4 linked regions of the Saccharomyces cerevisiae S288C genome follow. The protein of the gene in region 1 purifies or fractionates together with the protein of each later gene. This does not show direct contact. Each region holds a gene or a part of one and is shown on either strand. Other genes may lie near its edges.

The links.
Region 2: the proteins of CIC1 (region 1) and PUF6 purify together in Saccharomyces cerevisiae (affinity purification with mass spectrometry; 6 studies listed by BioGRID, with this or other methods). This does not show direct contact.
Region 3: the proteins of CIC1 (region 1) and NOC2 purify together in Saccharomyces cerevisiae (affinity purification with mass spectrometry; 8 studies listed by BioGRID, with this or other methods). This does not show direct contact.
Region 4: the proteins of CIC1 (region 1) and SPB4 purify together in Saccharomyces cerevisiae (affinity purification with mass spectrometry; 7 studies listed by BioGRID). This does not show direct contact.

What each region holds. Positions count from the first base shown.
Region 1 is NC_001140.6:208,983-212,927, forward strand, and holds CIC1 (Cic1p), read left to right. Parts: upstream 1-1,865; coding exon 1,866-2,996; downstream 2,997-3,945. Other genes in the region: divalent metal ion transporter SMF2, read left to right, coding at 1-321; YHR050W-A (uncharacterized protein), read left to right, coding at 493-663; COX6 (cytochrome c oxidase subunit VI), read left to right, coding at 723-1,169; YHR052C-B (uncharacterized protein), read right to left, coding at 3,537-3,710; metallothionein CUP1-1, read right to left, coding at 3,553-3,738. UniProt on the Saccharomyces cerevisiae protein: An adapter protein that specifically links the 26S proteasome to its substrate CDC4 which is one of the substrate recognition subunits of the SCF E3 ubiquitin ligase complex. Required for turnover of cell cycle regulatory proteins CDC4 and GRR1.
Region 2 is NC_001136.10:1,440,440-1,445,588, reverse strand, and holds PUF6 (Puf6p), read left to right. Parts: upstream 1-2,185; coding exon 2,186-4,156; downstream 4,157-5,149. Other genes in the region: myo-inositol transporter ITR1, read left to right, coding at 122-1,876; CORVET complex subunit VPS3, read left to right, coding at 4,439-5,149. UniProt on the Saccharomyces cerevisiae protein: RNA-binding protein involved in post-transcriptional regulation. Component of the ASH1 mRNP which transports the ASH1 mRNA to the distal tip of the bud, where the ASH1 protein is translated and targeted to the daughter cell nucleus.
Region 3 is NC_001147.6:725,255-730,459, forward strand, and holds NOC2 (mRNA-binding ribosome synthesis protein NOC2), read left to right. Parts: upstream 1-2,257; coding exon 2,258-4,390; downstream 4,391-5,205. Other genes in the region: GEP3 (Gep3p), read right to left, coding at 310-1,980; DNA-directed RNA polymerase III core subunit RET1, read right to left, coding at 4,754-5,205. UniProt on the Saccharomyces cerevisiae protein: Involved in the intranuclear transport of ribosomal precursors.
Region 4 is NC_001138.5:143,882-148,840, reverse strand, and holds SPB4 (ATP-dependent RNA helicase SPB4), read left to right. Parts: upstream 1-1,906; coding exon 1,907-3,727; downstream 3,728-4,959. Other genes in the region: pseudouridine synthase DEG1, read right to left, coding at 382-1,710. UniProt on the Saccharomyces cerevisiae protein: ATP-binding RNA helicase involved in the biogenesis of 60S ribosomal subunits. Binds 90S pre-ribosomal particles and dissociates from pre-60S ribosomal particles after processing of 27SB pre-rRNA.

The sequences.
Region 1 (3,945 bases):
GTTTCTGCACCTTTACTTTACTTCACTTCAAGCAAGAAGATTATGCGTGTACAGCTTAACCGTACCAAAGAACTTTCAAGAACTACAGACAAAAAACCCGTGGCCGACCGAACCGAAGATGATGAGACCATTGAGCTCGAAGAAATGGGCATAGGCAGCAGCTCACAGGAGCGCAGCTTAGTTTCTCCTGCTCCAGAATACAAAGACATGAGCAATGGAATGATCGTCACCGTGCTCGCAATCATAGTATGGTTGATTATCTCCGGACTGAACTTTTATATGTTACTGGGCTTTACTACGGGCAAAGAAGTACACCTCTAATATAACAATTCTTTAGACTAGTATAAGTATACATTTTATCCAAGAATAATAACAGAAAATTCCAATCAAAAAGTTGGTGTTAGGCTATACTGATGGCCGTATCGCTCCATACGAGCCAATCAGGGCCCCGCGCGTTATTTCCGCCGCTTACAGCTTTCTTTGAATCTCCCTATGAAAAGGGACCTAATTGGTCCGGTCAAAGCATTAATAAAGATCAACAATTGCTCTTGCTTATCAAGGTGCCAGATCTCAAGGTTACCTCATTTCTTTACATTTCATCCACATTTTAGCACACTTATTTATTATTACAATTTGAAAAATTGTATCACTTCTGAGACTTAGTAGCGGAGATAAACAGCCGAACAATTGTATTTGACACATAAACTAATAAATATACAACAATGTTATCAAGGGCCATATTCAGAAATCCAGTTATAAATAGAACTTTATTGAGAGCCAGACCTGGTGCTTATCATGCAACTAGATTGACTAAAAATACGTTTATTCAAAGTAGGAAGTATTCTGACGCACATGATGAAGAAACCTTTGAGGAATTCACCGCAAGATACGAAAAGGAGTTTGATGAAGCCTATGATTTGTTTGAAGTGCAAAGAGTGCTCAACAACTGTTTTTCCTATGATTTAGTTCCTGCTCCTGCTGTTATTGAAAAAGCTTTGAGGGCTGCCAGAAGAGTCAATGACTTACCTACCGCAATTAGAGTATTTGAGGCTTTGAAATACAAGGTGGAGAATGAAGACCAATACAAGGCCTACTTGGATGAATTGAAGGATGTCAGACAAGAATTGGGCGTTCCCTTAAAGGAAGAGCTATTTCCAAGCTCTTCTTAATAATAAGGAAAAAGCTACCACACAACGTCTGTAATTTGTTGTCCTTTTTTTATTTGTGGAAAATTCCTCAATTTGAAATAAGATTCGTATTTATTTTGTAAAACGATTTTAGTTTTTATTTTTTTTTTTTCTTCCCTTTTACCTTATTATTTGTTTTACCCTTTATGGATATTCATCCACTCAGAAACTAATATATCAAAATCAACGATAAGATCACAAGAGGTGAAATAAGAAAAGTAAAAGAAAAATATTTAAATTTAACCATTATGATTTCCACTTTGTTTTCTCTACTCTATTACTTGAACAAACTTTATTTTTGGTAATGAGGGCTGGTCACAGATTACCTTTAATATCCTTTGTTAGTAGCTTTTTTGTGTTCTATTTCAGGAAAGAAGAATGGGAAAAATAATAAAACAATAAATAACTATATAAAAAACAAAAACCTAGAATATACCATTAAAGAATTACTATTCTATTCTGTGCTTCACCGTTGCGTCAATAAATGTGAAGTTGATGTCACTTCATACTAAAAAAATTAAAGACAATTTCCTGAAAAAAATTTTTCCACTGGAGCTCATCGCAAATTTTGAAAAGTAACAAAAAGCGTTTGTATACTGCATAAAGAATAGTGTCTGTTTTATAAGAAATATTAGACAGCAGGCAGATAAACCTACGTTCCAGACTATAAAGTATAAAATGGCTAAAAAGAGTAACTCAAAGAAATCTACGCCTGTAAGTACACCAAGCAAAGAAAAGAAGAAGGTTATTGAAAAGAAATCTTCCACAGCCATTCCTAGGGAAAGAGTTATTAAAGCTGTCAACGAGCTTATAAAATTCACTTCCAAGCCACAAGATGAAAATAATGAAGAAGGAAATAACGGTAAGAAAAACCTATTGGAAGATGATGAAGAAGAATTGAAGAAAGATCTGCAATTAATCGTAGTAAATAATAAATCATTCACCGGTACTTCCAAATCATTCAAATTGAAATTACTAAATGTCAAACATTCGTTTTACAAGCCTTGGAAAGAAGCCAGTGCAACAGCGGTTAAGGATTTCAAAGTTTTATTAATTTTGAAGGATTCTGATATTAAGAAAGTTTCAGAAGATGATTTATTTGATCAATTAGATTCAGAAGGAATCAAGGTTGATGAAATCATTTGCGGGAAAGACTTAAAGACCGTTTACAAGGCATATGAGGCTAGAAACGCTTTTATATCTCAGTTTTCTTTGATTTTGGCTGACGACAGTATAGTTACATCTTTGCCAAAACTTATGGGAGGCAAAGCCTACAACAAAGTAGAAACTACTCCTATATCAATTAGAACACATGCAAATAAGGAATTTTCCTTGACCACTTTGACGAACAATATCAAAAAGGTTTACATGAATCAGTTGCCCGTTAAACTTCCAAGAGGTACCACGTTGAATGTCCATTTGGGTAATTTAGAATGGTTAAGGCCAGAAGAGTTTGTAGATAACGTTGAATTAATTTCTGAACAGTTAATCAAAGCATACCAAATCAGATCCATTTTTATCAAGACCAATAGGTCGCCCGTATTGCCATTATACTATAACCAGGACGTTCTTGATGAACTTGAAGCTAAAAAGGACAAAATCGAAGAAACCCACGAAGATGACATGGTCACCATTGATGGTGTACAAGTTCATTTGTCTACCTTCAACAAGGGTTTGATGGAAATCGCCAATCCTTCCGAATTGGGTTCAATTTTCTCTAAACAAATTAACAATGCAAAAAAGAGATCTTCTAGCGAGCTTGAAAAAGAATCTAGCGAGTCAGAAGCTGTCAAGAAGGCTAAAAGTTAATTTGTTTCCTCCTTATCTATCTTTTCTCTCATTTTTTTCTTGTGAAGAAAAAAATTTGAATTTCATAGAGTGCGGTGCATATGTATATATCTATATATGTTTGAAGTGTATATTAAAAATAAAGTCATTATTTGAATATTGGTTTCTCGGTCTAAGAGCTTATACGTTTTAGACTGATCTGTTGTACTATCCGCTTCAAATAAATAGATCATTGAAAGTGACGGGGATAACAGCATTTTACCTTTAAAAGACGTTCTCATAATACATTTTAGGATTAATACATATGCTTTTTTTTTATTCGAAATCTGGGGATTCTATACAGAGTTGTAAGTTAGGCAAACTAGAATTTGGTAATAATATTTTATTCTTGGGGCGACATATGGAGATACTTTATTTCCTTTTCTTAATTATTAACGTATACCTATAAATTAACAAAGTATCTAAACAAAATACATAAGTGTACTCAAACTGAGTAGAATCGTCGATTAAACTTCCTTCTCCTTTTAAAAATTAAAAACAGCAAATAGTTAGATGAATATATTAAAGACTATTCGTTTCATTTCCCAGAGCAGCATGACTTCTTGGTTTCTTCAGACTTGTTACCGCAGGGGCATTTGTCGTCGCTGTTACACCCCGTTGGGCAGCTACATGATTTTTGGCATTGTTCATTATTTTTGCAGCTACCACATTGGCATTGGCACTCATGACCTTCATTTTGGAAGTTAATTAATTCGCTGAACATTTTATGTGATGATTGATTGATTGATTGTACAGTTTGTTTTTCTTAATATCTATTTCGATGACTTCTATATGATATTGCACTAACAAGAAGATATTATAATGCAATTGATACAAGACAAGGAGTTATTTGCTTCTCTTTTATATGATTCTGACAATCCATATTGCGTTGGTAGTCTTTTTTGCTGGAACGGTTCAGCGGAAAAGACGC
Region 2 (5,149 bases), on another chromosome or scaffold:
CTTTTCTTTGGCAGGTGTTTGCTCTATTCTTCTCTTTCAGTTTGGTGCGCTATTCAGATTTATTGGTCGTCCTACTGTATACATCTCTTTCATTTTCTTTGTTTCTGCAGTGGGTGTTAAAATGGGAATACACATACCATATCTCACGTCAAAGACATCGCAATCAAATGTTGGTGATGCCGTTGGCAACGCTGATAGTGTAGAGTTCAACAGTGAGCATGACTCACCTTCAAAGAGAGGTAAAATTACACTTGAGTCACATGAAATACAGAGGGCTCCCGCTAGCGATGATGAAGATAGGATTCAAATTAAACCCGTGAACGACGAGGATGACACGTCGGTCATGATCACTTTTAACCAATCTCTTTCGCCCTTCATCATCACTCTGACTTTTGTCGCATCCATATCCGGTTTCATGTTTGGTTACGACACTGGTTATATATCCAGTGCGCTGATCTCGATCGGCACAGATCTGGACCACAAGGTACTTACTTATGGGGAGAAGGAAATTGTCACTGCGGCTACCTCTCTGGGAGCTTTGATTACCAGTATTTTCGCCGGTACTGCAGCTGACATATTTGGTAGGAAACGTTGTTTAATGGGTTCGAATCTGATGTTTGTCATTGGCGCAATCTTACAGGTCTCCGCACACACATTCTGGCAAATGGCTGTTGGTAGACTGATCATGGGTTTCGGTGTCGGTATCGGCTCCTTGATCGCGCCACTTTTCATCAGTGAAATTGCTCCCAAAATGATCAGAGGGAGACTAACTGTCATCAATTCCTTATGGTTGACTGGTGGTCAATTAGTCGCTTACGGTTGCGGTGCTGGGTTAAACTACGTCAACAATGGTTGGAGAATTCTTGTTGGATTGTCACTAATTCCCACTGCTGTGCAATTCACATGCCTGTGCTTTTTACCTGACACTCCAAGATACTACGTTATGAAGGGCGACTTGGCAAGGGCTACTGAGGTGTTGAAGAGAAGTTACACTGACACTTCGGAGGAAATCATTGAACGTAAGGTGGAAGAACTTGTTACTTTGAATCAATCTATTCCTGGTAAGAATGTCCCTGAAAAAGTCTGGAATACCATCAAAGAATTGCACACAGTACCATCTAATCTAAGGGCTTTGATCATTGGTTGTGGTTTACAAGCAATTCAACAGTTTACCGGTTGGAATTCGTTGATGTATTTCTCTGGTACCATCTTCGAAACTGTCGGTTTCAAAAATTCTTCCGCTGTTTCAATCATCGTGTCCGGTACCAATTTTATTTTCACTTTAGTTGCCTTTTTTTCCATTGACAAAATAGGCCGTAGAACCATATTATTGATTGGATTACCAGGCATGACCATGGCTTTAGTCGTGTGCTCTATTGCTTTCCATTTTCTAGGTATTAAGTTTGATGGCGCTGTCGCTGTGGTGGTTTCCTCCGGTTTCTCCTCTTGGGGTATTGTGATCATCGTATTTATTATCGTATTTGCTGCGTTCTACGCTCTTGGTATCGGTACTGTTCCATGGCAACAATCGGAACTATTCCCCCAAAACGTGAGAGGTATTGGGACTTCATATGCAACTGCTACAAACTGGGCTGGTTCACTGGTTATTGCATCCACATTTTTGACCATGTTACAGAATATCACTCCTGCAGGTACATTTGCCTTTTTCGCGGGATTGTCGTGCTTATCAACCATTTTCTGCTACTTCTGTTATCCAGAATTATCGGGATTGGAGTTAGAAGAGGTACAAACTATTTTGAAGGACGGGTTCAACATCAAAGCCTCGAAAGCTTTGGCCAAGAAGAGAAAACAGCAAGTTGCCAGAGTTCATGAATTGAAATATGAACCAACTCAAGAGATTATAGAGGATATATAGTCCTTTCACGAGGTAAAAGGAAGGAGACGCAATTGAATATTCAAATACATAGTAGAAAATAAATAAAAATAAATTACAAGATAGAAAAAAGTTCATTGTATTTAAGTCGAACTAATTGTTGTATGCATATATAGAAGATTAACTAACCCGGCATTGAAGACCTTTTTTTTTTTTCACCTTGAGAGAAATACTGAAAATTTTTTTTGCTGGGATGAGATGAGATGCCTACCTAAAGTATTTCGAAGGTGAAAGCGTTTTATTATAGAGTACTGAAATAAAGCACAATCAGGAATAACAAATTAACTGACAATGGCACCTTTAACCAAGAAGACAAACGGAAAACGTTCTGCTAAAGAAGTTAGTCATTCAGAAAAGAAATTAGCCAAAAAACCTAGAATTTCTATTGATTCGTCTGATGAAGAATCAGAACTATCCAAAAAGGAAGATGCTGTATCCTCTTCATCAGATGATGATGATTTGGATGATTTAAGTACCAGTGACTCTGAAGCAGAAGAAGAAGCTGACGAATTAGATATTTCCGATGACAGTGAGGAACATGAAAATGAGAATGAAGAGAAAGAAGGAAAGGACAAATCTGAAGGAGGTGAAAATGGAAATCACACTGAACAAAGAAAACTGCTAAAAGAAAGGAAAATGCAAAGAAAATCTGGTACCCAAGTGCAACAAATTAAATCCGTCTGGGAAAGATTGCGTGTGAAGACCCCACCTTTACCAAAACAGATTCGTGAAAAACTTTCCAACGAAATCTGGGAGCTATCTAAGGACTGTATCAGTGATCTTGTCTTAAAGCATGATGCTTCCCGTATTGTTCAAACTTTAGTCAAGTATTCGTCCAAAGATCGTCGTGAACAAATTGTCGATGCTTTAAAGGGAAAATTTTATGTTCTAGCCACATCTGCGTACGGTAAGTATCTATTGGTTAAGTTACTGCATTATGGTTCAAGAAGTTCAAGGCAAACTATAATAAATGAATTACACGGTTCTTTGAGAAAATTAATGAGACATCGTGAGGGTGCCTACGTTGTTGAAGATTTATTTGTTCTTTATGCCACACATGAACAAAGACAACAAATGATTAAAGAGTTTTGGGGCTCTGAATATGCTGTATTTAGAGAAACCCACAAAGATTTGACCATTGAGAAAGTTTGTGAAAGTAGCATTGAAAAAAGGAATATTATCGCCAGAAACTTGATTGGTACCATTACCGCATCAGTAGAAAAGGGTTCCACCGGCTTTCAAATTCTACATGCTGCTATGAGAGAATATGTGAAAATAGCCAACGAAAAGGAAATATCTGAAATGATCGAATTGCTTCATGAACAATTCGCTGAATTGGTGCATACTCCAGAAGGTTCAGACGTTGCTTGTACTTTGGTTGCTAGAGCTAACGCCAAGGAAAGAAAGTTAATTTTAAAGGCTTTGAAAAACCACGCCGAAAAATTGATCAAAAATGAGTACGGTAATATTGTCTTCATTACAATTCTGAACTGTGTTGACGATACAGTTTTAGTATTCAAGACTTTCAGTCCTACTGTTAAGGAACATTTGCAAGAATTCATAATTGATAAGTTTGGTAGAAGGCCTTGGTTATACATACTATTAGGTTTGGACGGTAAGTATTTCTCACCTATCGTCAAGAATGAATTATTGAGATACATTGAACTGTCCAAAGCCACCTCTAAGAAGGATCCTTTACAAAGAAGGCACGAACTTTTGTCAAAATTCGCCCCCATGTTTTTAAGCACTATATCAAAAGATTATTCCAGTATATTGACAGAGAATCTAGGCTGTCAGTTCATTGCCGAAGTTCTAATAAACGATGAGTTGTACGCGCAGCTGAATGAAAAAGACCAAGAAAAGTATCAACAGGTCTTAAACAACATTTTAACTACTTTTAAGGGTGACATAACCGAAGAAGAGCACCCAATACATAGAGCATTTTCTACTAGACTATTAAAGGCACTAATTCAAGGTGGTAAATGGAATAACAAAGAAAAAAAGGTCATACCATTAAAAAATGTTCAAGGCTTAGGCGTTCCATTTGCTGAAAAGTTATACGATGAAATTATTGACTCCTCCAACTTGTTAGAATGGATTAATAACGCTGATAGTTCATTTACAATTGTTGCACTGTATGAAACGTTAAAAGATCAAAAAGAAGGGAAACCATTTTTGAAGGATTTGAGAGGAGTTCAGAGTAAAATCACCACTGATGAAAGTAACAAAGGCTCTCAGCTTTTGGCTAAATTGTTAAAATAAATTTTCTACGATAAAGTCACAATATTTGGTATATAAGCATCTGTACAATAATAATAAAAAGCTTGATCTCATTGAAAGTGCAGGTATATATAATTGTCTCCTAAAAACTCCTTACATCGCATAATATCTGTTGAAGATACCGTTCCGATGGGAAAAAAAGGCAAGTTTAACTGGAAATATTCATATGTACTTACTATTTTATAACGACATTAGTGAATCAGAACTATCATAACAGTCAAGGAGACTACCTTTTTTTGGTTGCAACCATAATATTATAGAACCATGGTAAAAAAGAAAACGAATAATGACAAAGGAAAAGAAGTAAAGGAAAATGAAGGAAAGCTCGATATAGATAGCGAATCCTCACCTCACGAAAGAGAAAATGACAAAAAAAAAACAGAAGATGATAGTCTACGTGCAACAGAAAGTGAAGAGACGAATACACATAATGCTAACCCAAATGAAACAGTACGAGCTGATAAATTTTCCCAGGAAGAGAGTCGACCAATCGAAGACAGTCCACATACTGATAAAAACACAGCACAAGAAAGCTGTCAGCCTAGCAGCGCAGAAGATAATGTCATAAATACAGATATTACAAGCTTAAATGAAAAAACCTCCACGAATGATGAACAGGAAAAAGGGTTGCCACTGAAAATAAGCGAAGGTCCTTTTACAATCTCTACCCTATTAGACAATGTACCATCTGACTTGATATACACATGTTGTGAGGCGTATGAGAACCACATATTCTTGGGAACAACTACAGGTGATCTTTTACATTACTTTGAACTTGAACGTGGAAACTATATGCTTGTGTCGCAAACAAAGTTTGATGCAGAATCAAATTCGAAGATAGACAAAATCCTTCTTTTACCTAAAGTAGAAGGCGCACTAATATTATGTGATAACGAACTAGTTTTATTTATTCTCCCAGAATTTGCACCAAGGCCCAACACAACTAGACTTAAAGGTATTAGTGATGTCGTTATT
Region 3 (5,205 bases), on another chromosome or scaffold:
TTCTTTTTACCTTACGAAAATATTCTTACTGTTCACAGTACCATTGTATAATAGTATTCATTTCCTTCCTACATTTTCTCTCCCTTTTTTGAGTTGAGGCCTTTTTATTGACTCGCCTTATACTCTACTTTATTTGTGTTTTGTAGATAGAATAAACATCAACAGTATAATTCATAATACTTTCTATTGCTTATTTCCTGTATATTCGTTTTTGAATATACTTTGTTCCCAACTTTCTTTTTAGTTTACTTACATTCATATTTACATGTGCGTTACTACTTATTGGTGCAACCAAGTGAACAGCGAGTCTTACCATTGGTAGTACCAATAGGGATTCTTTTTTTTTTCTAGGTGTTGAACCAAATCATAAGGATCATCGTCGACAAATCTTCTAGCAGATAAATCTTTCTCGGTTTTTTCTAAATACGACTTCTTCACTGCGTTCAAAGTATCAGCTTCATCCGGGGCCATCTCATACAGGGAACTGATGATCGGTCTATCTCTGGGACAGCTTGACTCTTTACCATTTGTTTCAATGTAACGCTGGTAGCCAGACTCAATCAAGTTTTCTAGCGGTTCCCTTATACCTACTTGGATACCCCTAGGTATCCATATCTCATGTAGTCCTTTGAACTCATACCTCCCAGTTGTCCTTAATAAAATATATCCTATATCTTTCAGAACGATCTCTATACTTCCAATAAATGGAGGTATTGCGTACCTTTTGTACTGGCTTTTTTCGCATATAACGCTTTTAATTCCACAATACCGTGATAACGGATGTGTGCCAGATGATGAATTGCACGAGTTGAATACATCAATACCTTTTTCAATGTTCTTGAATGTTTTTGATGGTCCTGGTATGTATTTCACAATCTGATTTATGGATCCTTTCGGAGGTACCAGGTAGAAAATCCCTCCCACGGTATAACAGCCTCCCTGTGATGTGCCCTTCATAGACTCATAAGTCTTCTGTTTTATATGCTTCCGATTGAATAAATCGGTTTTTCGCAGCCTTTGAAGCCAACGCTCGTCGATTAGTTCTTCTAGGCGTAATCTGGAGGTGGAAGTTGAATAGCCTGGAAGATCAAAAAGTATTTTACCTCCAACTTGGTAGGCTTGTACGGATCTAGTTAAATTGGGAATATGTGATACACCAGCAGCTTGAATCTTGAAAAAATTCTTCGGGTTCGTAAAAGCTTCTTGCATCACTTCTTCAGAGGGGGAGTTAATTTTCCCAGTAGAATCAATTTTAACCTTATATCCAAGATATTTCTGTAGTAGAGTATTGATCAAAGTTGATTTACCAACATTAGGGTTGCCTAGCAAATATGTGTAGTTTTTAAAGTAGTTGTAAAACATGGATATGTTCCAGTTTTTCAGCGCAGATATGGCGAATGTTTTATTTGAGTCAATTCTTAAAGTGTTCTTTAAAAATTGCTTCATGAATATAGGAACCTTTTTGCTGACAGCATTTTTATCTTTAAAAACTTGATCGCTTTTCGTTAACACTAATGTAGTATCTAAATCATTTCGTTTCAAAACATTGGGGTCTAAATGTAAGGGAAATTCTACAAAGGGGACAATATGCATAACATTTGAGCCTCTGGGGACGTAGTTCAGAATATCATTTAATGTGCTTTCGGGAAACTCTTCCGGGTTATAATTGTTATGATGAAGGGCATTACTGCACCTTTTGCAAATCACTCTCAATAGTAAATCTCTTTTGGTTTTGAGGTCAGGATCATTTTGAGTTGCCTGTTTCGAGAGCTGTATGTCTTGACTGAATAGCAAATACTTCAGATCTTGGAGGTCAGGATTTAGTTTTGAGTCGGGTAGACTTTTTGGCTTCGTATAATATCCTGGTTTACTAGGATCCTGATCCTGTAGTTTTATGGAACATGACGCACATTTCACTTTCACAATCACAGAACAGGAAAACTGACGTACGCCTCGAAGAGCATGACACAGATTCAACATTCCCGCATATTGAATTGTTCAAAGTAATTAGACGTGTTACTAGGAAGGTCCTTCGTTAATATTGCTCTGTTAAATGTATCTTGACCCATAACATCAAATAGTAGTTATCATCTTCGACGAGTTTTGAAAAATTTTCTGAATTTTTTCTTCCGATGAGATGAGCATGATATTTACAGAGAAAATAGAGAAACAGAATACTTGTACATGGGTAAATTCATTTATACTAATTTTTGAATTGTAAGAGAGATAGAGAAGGTCAACAATAGAATAAGTGGAGATGGGTAAAGTTTCTAAATCGACCAAGAAGTTTCAATCGAAGCATTTGAAGCATACTCTAGACCAAAGAAGAAAGGAAAAGATCCAAAAGAAGAGAATCCAAGGCCGTCGTGGCAACAAAACTGATCAGGAAAAGGCCGATGCTGCTGGTACTAGGGAACAACAGCAGTTGAAAAAATCTGCAAAGGAAGAGGTTTTTAAGGACATGTCTGTCGAAACTTTTTTTGAAAAGGGCATCGAAATTCCAAAAGAGAATAAAAAATTGAAGAAAAAAACTACGAAAGAGCAATCTGATGAAGATTCCTCCTCTTCCGAAGAGGAGGAAGACATGGGACAAAGCATGGCAAAGTTGGCCGAAAAGGATCCCGAATTTTATAAGTATTTGGAGGAAAATGATAAAGATTTATTGGACTTCGCAGGTACCAATCCATTGGATGGAATTGATAGTCAAGATGAAGGTGAAGATGCTGAAAGAAACAGTAATATTGAAGAAAAATCTGAACAAATGGAGCTGGAAAAGGAAAAAATTGAGCTTTCTTTGAAATTGGTTAGGAAATGGAAAAAACAACTTCATGATTCTCCAAGCTTAAAATTACTAAGGAACATAATCAGTGCTTTCAAGGTTGCTGTAAATTTGAACAAGGAAGAAAACATCGAAGACTATAAATATGCTATCACTGATGAGAAAGCATTCCACGAATTGATGTTCATGGTCTTGAAAGATGTACCACAAGCGATTCAAAAGATGGCCCCATACAAGATTGTAAAAGGCGCAAGGACCTTACCAAATGGAGGTAACGTCTCCAGGGTCTCGTCCATTGTCAAGTCGCATGCTGGCTCTTTGTTGATTTTATTGAATGATATTACTAATACGGAAACAGCAGCATTAGTTCTTCATTCTGTCAACGAATTGATGCCTTATCTTTTATCATACAGAAGGATCTTAAAGGAGCTTATTAAATCAATTGTTGGAGTATGGTCTACAACGAGAGAATTAGAAACCCAGATTGCTTCTTTTGCCTTTTTGATCAATACCACCAAAGAGTTCAAGAAGTCTATGCTAGAAACAACCTTAAAAACAACGTACTCCACTTTTATCAAAAGTTGTCGTAAAACGAATATGCGTTCTATGCCACTGATTAATTTTCAAAAAAATTCGGCAGCTGAATTGTTCGGTATCGATGAAGTTCTAGGTTACCAAGTTGGATTTGAGTATATTAGGCAATTGGCAATTCATTTAAGAAATACAATGAACGCGACAACTAAAAAATCCAGTAAAATTAATTCCGCAGAAGCTTACAAGATTGTATACAACTGGCAATTCTGTCACTCCTTGGATTTCTGGTCTCGTGTACTATCGTTTGCTTGTCAACCAGAAAAGGAAAATGGCAGTGAATCTCCTTTACGACAATTAATTTACCCATTGGTTCAGGTTACTTTGGGTGTAATCAGATTAATCCCAACACCACAATTCTTCCCATTAAGATTTTATTTGATTAAATCACTTATTAGACTTTCTCAAAATAGTGGTGTTTTTATTCCAATATATCCTTTACTTTCTGAAATTTTAACCTCAACGGCTTTCACTAAGGCACCCAAAAAGAGCCCTAACTTGGCTGCTTTCGATTTTGAGCACAACATCAAATGTACGCAAGCTTATCTGAATACAAAAATATACCAAGAGGGTTTGTCAGAACAGTTTGTGGACTTATTGGGCGATTATTTTGCTCTGTACTGTAAAAACATTGCATTTCCTGAACTTGTAACACCGGTTATTATCTCTTTACGCCGTTACATCAAGACTTCAACTAATGTCAAACTTAACAAACGTTTATCAACTGTTGTAGAAAAATTGAACCAAAACAGCACATTCATCCAAGAAAAGAGATCAGATGTTGAATTTGGGCCAACAAACAAATCTGAAGTTTCAAGATTTTTGAATGATGTAGCTTGGAATAAAACACCTTTAGGTTCTTATGTTGCAGTACAACGTGAAGTTAAGGAAGAAAAGGCCAGATTAATGAGAGAAAGTATGGAAGAACAAGACAAAGAAAGAGAAACAGAAGAAGCAAAATTATTAAACAGTCTGGAAAGTGATGATGACAACGAAGATGTTGAAATGTCAGACGCTTAACAACTCAGCAAGATTTGATTTTTTGTCTTGAATTCAATAGTTAAGTCTATAAATGTGTAAAATAAAGAAAAGTCTTTTTTAAAGCGTATATATCATTGTGCTCACATGTGCTAACATGTGAGCACTCCAAGCTTTCTCTTGTCAGCTGGATATTTTTATATTTTGGCCGGTTTATGGATAGAAAACACGTCAAACGTTCGATGGATCTTATAAAAAGTAATGATGTAAAGCAAGGTACAAAAATGAAAGAAGTACGGTTTACTGTTATATAATTTTCGAAATCGTTCAACTCTCTTAAAGTTCCTCACGAAATAGATATGATTGCTAACATAACGCAAAATTTAGTACAAGATATATGATTTCTTACTGCTGGAAGATATCTTCCAATCTTAATCTTGGGGCTATGTTCATGGATAATAATTCCTGGAATAACAGTTTTGCTGCATATGGAATAGTCATCTTAATAATATTCTCAGCACTTTTGCAGGTAGTACACCAACCACTATAGCCCATTAATCCACATTTATCGCAGACATCAACTTCAAAAGCATCTGAACTAATCATCAACCTTTCTAACAGCAATTGTGAAGCACCATACGCGATTACACAATCCCTCTCCATCTCACCCAACCTCAGACCACCATCTCTAGATCTACCCTCAGTTGGTTGACGTGTCAAAACAGCCCTTGGACCACGAGCTCTTGCATGCATCTTATCTAAGACCATATGCTTTAACTTTTGATAGTAAATGGGGCCAAAAAAGATGTAAGCCTGTAAACACTCACCTGTTATACCTGAATATAACATATCCTTAC
Region 4 (4,959 bases), on another chromosome or scaffold:
ATTTTATAGTTGGTCTCTATATCAAGTGTTGAGTAAGTAATCGAATGGAAATTACGTACTTTCAACGCAAGAGCAAGACAAAAGAAAGCCTAAAACTGTCTTTTCGTGTCGGTCGTCCAATATCATCGTAAACGTGTGTAGAGCCTTAAATTCTAATTTCTAACTTTAAATTTTTTTTGCTATTATAATACTAATTTCTAACTTTCAACCTATTTTACATCTTCGGAAAACAAAAACTATTTTTTCTTTAATTTCTTTTTTTACTTTCTATTTTTAATTTATATATTTATATTAAAAAATTTAAATTATAATTATTTTTATAGCACGTGATGAAAAGAAATATAGTCTTCAAGGTTATATTATACAGGTTTATATATTATTTTACTTATTTTTGTTGTTCTTTTTCTTGGAGTATTTAGCATTAACAACTTCGACAGGTTCCATAACGCTTCTATCCTCTAGTTTCACATAGGTACCGACTACTTTACCTCTTCCATCGCCCAAATTAATAATTGTCTTTGAGAAGTTGTTTGTATTTGCTGTGGGCAAAACATCTTTAAAAATATTGCATACTGCGGCCTTAAGTTCGTAGTGTAACGTCAATGCTTCAGTAGCTGTCGTGAATTTTATTGCCTTATAGTCATCTACAGTAGGTTCTTGCCAATCCATTTCAGGAAATTTACAATCATATAACAATAATGGTATATCATTTGCCATTTCGTAAACAGGCCTTTGAGGGGTTTTCTCAATATCAGTCAGACGCAAGACAATTTCCGGCACTTCAAGTGATTGACCAACTAAGAAAAGAATGGCCATCATGCAACGAACTTGGTGCCATAGGAATGCTGAACCAACGAGATCAAAACAATAGAAAGTTTCAGAAAGGGGAAGAATTTTTGAGCTTATTATTGTTCGTTTAAAATTGGTAATTTGTTTTGAGCCATCAAGCTTACAAAAATTCCTGAAGTCTCTCTCTCCAACAAAATATGATGCGGCTTTAGACATTTTTTCAATATTAAGGTTTTTTCCATTAAAGATGTACTTATAGTGCCGGTGAACACAGCTGAATCTTGCGTCAAAGTTAGGTGGCGGTCTGAGGCAGACAGCTGATATACGAATATCGTCGGGTAGTAATTGATTTAAAACGTGAACATAGGGTATTTCCCTGCTGTCGTTGGTCGGATCCCGCTGTTCCTCATCTGTTAAATTGGAACGGACTTCTAACGATATAACTTGGTTCATGGCGCTAACTCCCTTGTCTGTTCTGCCACATCTGCTAAATTTATAGTCTTGTAAAACCATCGAGGGAACAAGTTTACACTTATTCATGGCCTCCAAAATGGTACCCTCTACTGTAGGCAACGGTGTGTATTCCTTCTGAACAGCTAAGCCATTGTAATTCCATCCCAAATAGGCAAATCTCAAGGCGATGAACCTGGTATTATGTTTAGAAAAGTCAAACTTCTTCGGAGCCTTTTTCGCCTTGCTTCTCGTAACCTCTTCTTGCGAAATTTTGCGCTTTTTGTTATCCTCGATGTGCTGGAATTTTTCAGAATGTGGCTTATTTGCGTTTTCTAGTTCAGTGATCCTTCGTATTAGCTGCTCTTTGGACCAGTTTGCGTAAATGGAGTCCTTCTTACTAACAATAGCATTGGTACCTGTTGAAATCGCTTTCATTTTCCCAACTAGCCTTCTAATGAAATTACTCATTCAAGGGAGGTTATAGTAGGGCAGTAAAGATTGCATGTGGGCACCTCGAGAATACTATATTATTCTTTATTTTGAGCCGGCTTTTCGCTTTCAAAAATTTTTCACTGAAAAACAAAGTGAGCTTTTCAAGATGAGCTGAGCCCATTGATTTGAGGTGTAGTAAGATAATATTAAAAGCTCAGCAGCAATAAAAACAATGTCAAAGTCATTGGAATGGGATAATCTCGGGTTTTCTTTACTTCCCTGGATAAGGACAGGACTCGATGTTATGGGTTTTGAGACCATGACTCCAGTCCAAGCATCGACAATTCCCATGCTTGCTGGCAACAAGGATGTAGTAGTTGATTCTGTAACAGGCTCAGGTAAGACCGCTGCGTTTGTTATACCTGTACTAGAAAAAGTTGTAAAGGAAGAAGCGAATACATCAAAATTCAAGAAAGCACACTTCCACTCGTTAATTATTGCTCCAACAAGAGAATTGTCACGCCAAATTGAGTCTGTCGTTCTATCATTTCTGGAACATTATCCTTCCGACTTGTTCCCTATTAAATGTCAGCTCCTGGTTGGTACTAATGAAGCCACAGTTAGAGATGATGTAAGTAATTTTCTGCGGAATAGACCGCAGATTCTGATTGGAACACCTGGTAGAGTTTTGGACTTTTTACAAATGCCAGCAGTAAAGACGTCAGCATGCAGTATGGTAGTTATGGATGAAGCAGACAGATTGTTGGATATGAGTTTTATTAAGGATACCGAAAAAATTCTGAGGCTATTGCCTAAACAAAGAAGGACGGGTCTATTTTCTGCAACTATGCGTAGCGCCGGATCAGATATCTTTAAGACAGGGCTTAGAAATCCTGTCAGGATTACCGTTAACTCTAAGAACCAGGCGCCCTCCTCTTTGAAATTAAATTACTGTGTCGTAAATCCTGCCGAAAAACTACAACTTTTGGTTAGCATTTTGAATAACTACAAATTCAAGAAATGTATTGTATATTTTCCAACATGTGTGTCAGTCTCCTACTTCTACTCATTTATCCAGTATTTGGGAAAGAGGAATATTCTCGTGAATGAAGTAGAAATATTTTCCTTGCATGGAAAACTTCAAACATCGGCAAGGACAAAAACTCTAACAGCTTTTACTGATTCGCTAAGTAATTCTGTTTTATTCACAACAGATGTGGCTGCTAGAGGTATTGACATACCCGACGTTGATCTCGTCATCCAGCTTGATCCCCCTACCAATACTGATATGTTCATGCATAGATGTGGTAGAACTGGTAGAGCAAATAGAGTGGGTAAAGCAATTACGTTTCTTAATGAAGGCAGAGAAGAGGATTTTATTCCTTTCATGCAAGTTAAAAATGTGGAACTTGAAGAACTTGATTTGGAAGTAAAGGGCATAACAACAAACTTTTACGAGGACTTTAGAAATTGGATACTAGAAGATAGGGATAGATTTGATAAAGGTGTTAAAGCATATGTTGCCTTTATTAAATACTACTCAAATCATTCCGCAACTTCAATTTTTAGGCTTCAATCTTTAGATTATGTTGGTATTGCGAAATTGTATGGTCTTTTCCGCCTGCCTAGAATGCCTGAGATAACAAAGTACTTAGCCACCGAAAAACAAGAAGGGATTTTCCCAGGGAATTGGTTGGTCGATCCCCCAGTTAATATGGATGAATATAAATACAAGGACAAAAAACGTGAAAAGGAGAGACAAGAAACATTAAAAAATATAAGCCTGATTAATGATAAAAAGAAGCTGAAAAGTGAGTTGAAGAAGAAGAATTTAGCGTGGTCAGATAAAACATTGACGAAAGAACGGAAACTCGAGAGAAAGGAAAAGATGAGTTTAAAAAGGAAGGCTATAGAGGAAGAATTGAAAGCAGAAGAGCTCGATGAAAATGCTGAAGAAGAGCGTATTAAAGAGGATTGGAAAGAAATCGTTTTACAGAATAAACGGAAGAAAGTTTCCAGCAAAGCTATCCAAGGCAATTTTGACGACTTATAATTATGGAAAAAAAGTTACCTTGTTCGTAGAATCACTCAACATTCTTAACCAATGGATGATCTTGTAGCATCATAGTGAGTAAGTAGATTATTTGTGTATGCATACTTAATTTAAAATATTCTAAAACCATTATACTCCATCTTAAAGCATAATATATATCTCTTGTTCAGCATGTACTTGTAACAGGAAAAGGATATTATGTTCAGAAATAATCAAACAGCCTCAATACTGACATCAGGCAGTCGACAGGAATAACTTCAAAATAAGTTCCGATCACAACGTTATTGTAATGGAACCAATGATCGCTCATTGATTAGTATTCATATTAACACTATATTAAAATTGAGTGTGAGTAGATGGCACAAAGACTGAGAAATAATCATCAAATTTAATGGAAGCCGAAATGCAAGACTTGATAATGTAATGGAATAAAGAGTGGCGACAATAATATGAAAAAGAAAATATTAATAACATTATATAGAAATATGGGCTTCCTTTTTTAGGTTATTACATCCTTGGGAAGAATTTTTAATATACTTTGATTCCCTTTAATAACAATGGAATGCCAACAATTATCCTAACATTGACCCGTTGGTAATTAGAGGTTAAGAAGTAGTGTTAATGAAGATTAAATATGGATCTTCTTATACTATATAAGAGAAGTATAAAACACACGCTGATTTGTGTATTATTACTTATGATCAATGTAATAGTAGTTCTGGAACTTGTCATACATTTAGTTTGACTAGTCATATTACGCGTATATATAACGACCAGATCATGTCAAACCTACGGTTCTTCAATACAGATTCATTACTTTCTTTAACAGGTATATTCATACTTAAACATATATGCGGTATGTATTCATGCACGATGCAAGCATTCAAAATGTTACTATGGCAATTGATGACCACTTGTTCCAAATAGTAACCGTACATTCATTAGTGAGTATAATTCTACCATAAGTATAAATGGTAACATATAAATATTCCGAGATCATCACGGGATTTGTCACGCAGCGGATTTATTTCAAATATTAAGAGAATTTGAGATCTGAATTTAACTTTAAATTTATACTTTTTCTCCTATTTCTACGTAGCTAATCTCACTTTGTAGTTTCCTTGAATATTGCTTTGGACTATACGTCTTTGTTTGTTTCAGATATAGTCTCTGAGATATTGGTGAATTTTGAGATAATTGTTGGGATTCCATTGTTGATTAAGGCTATAATA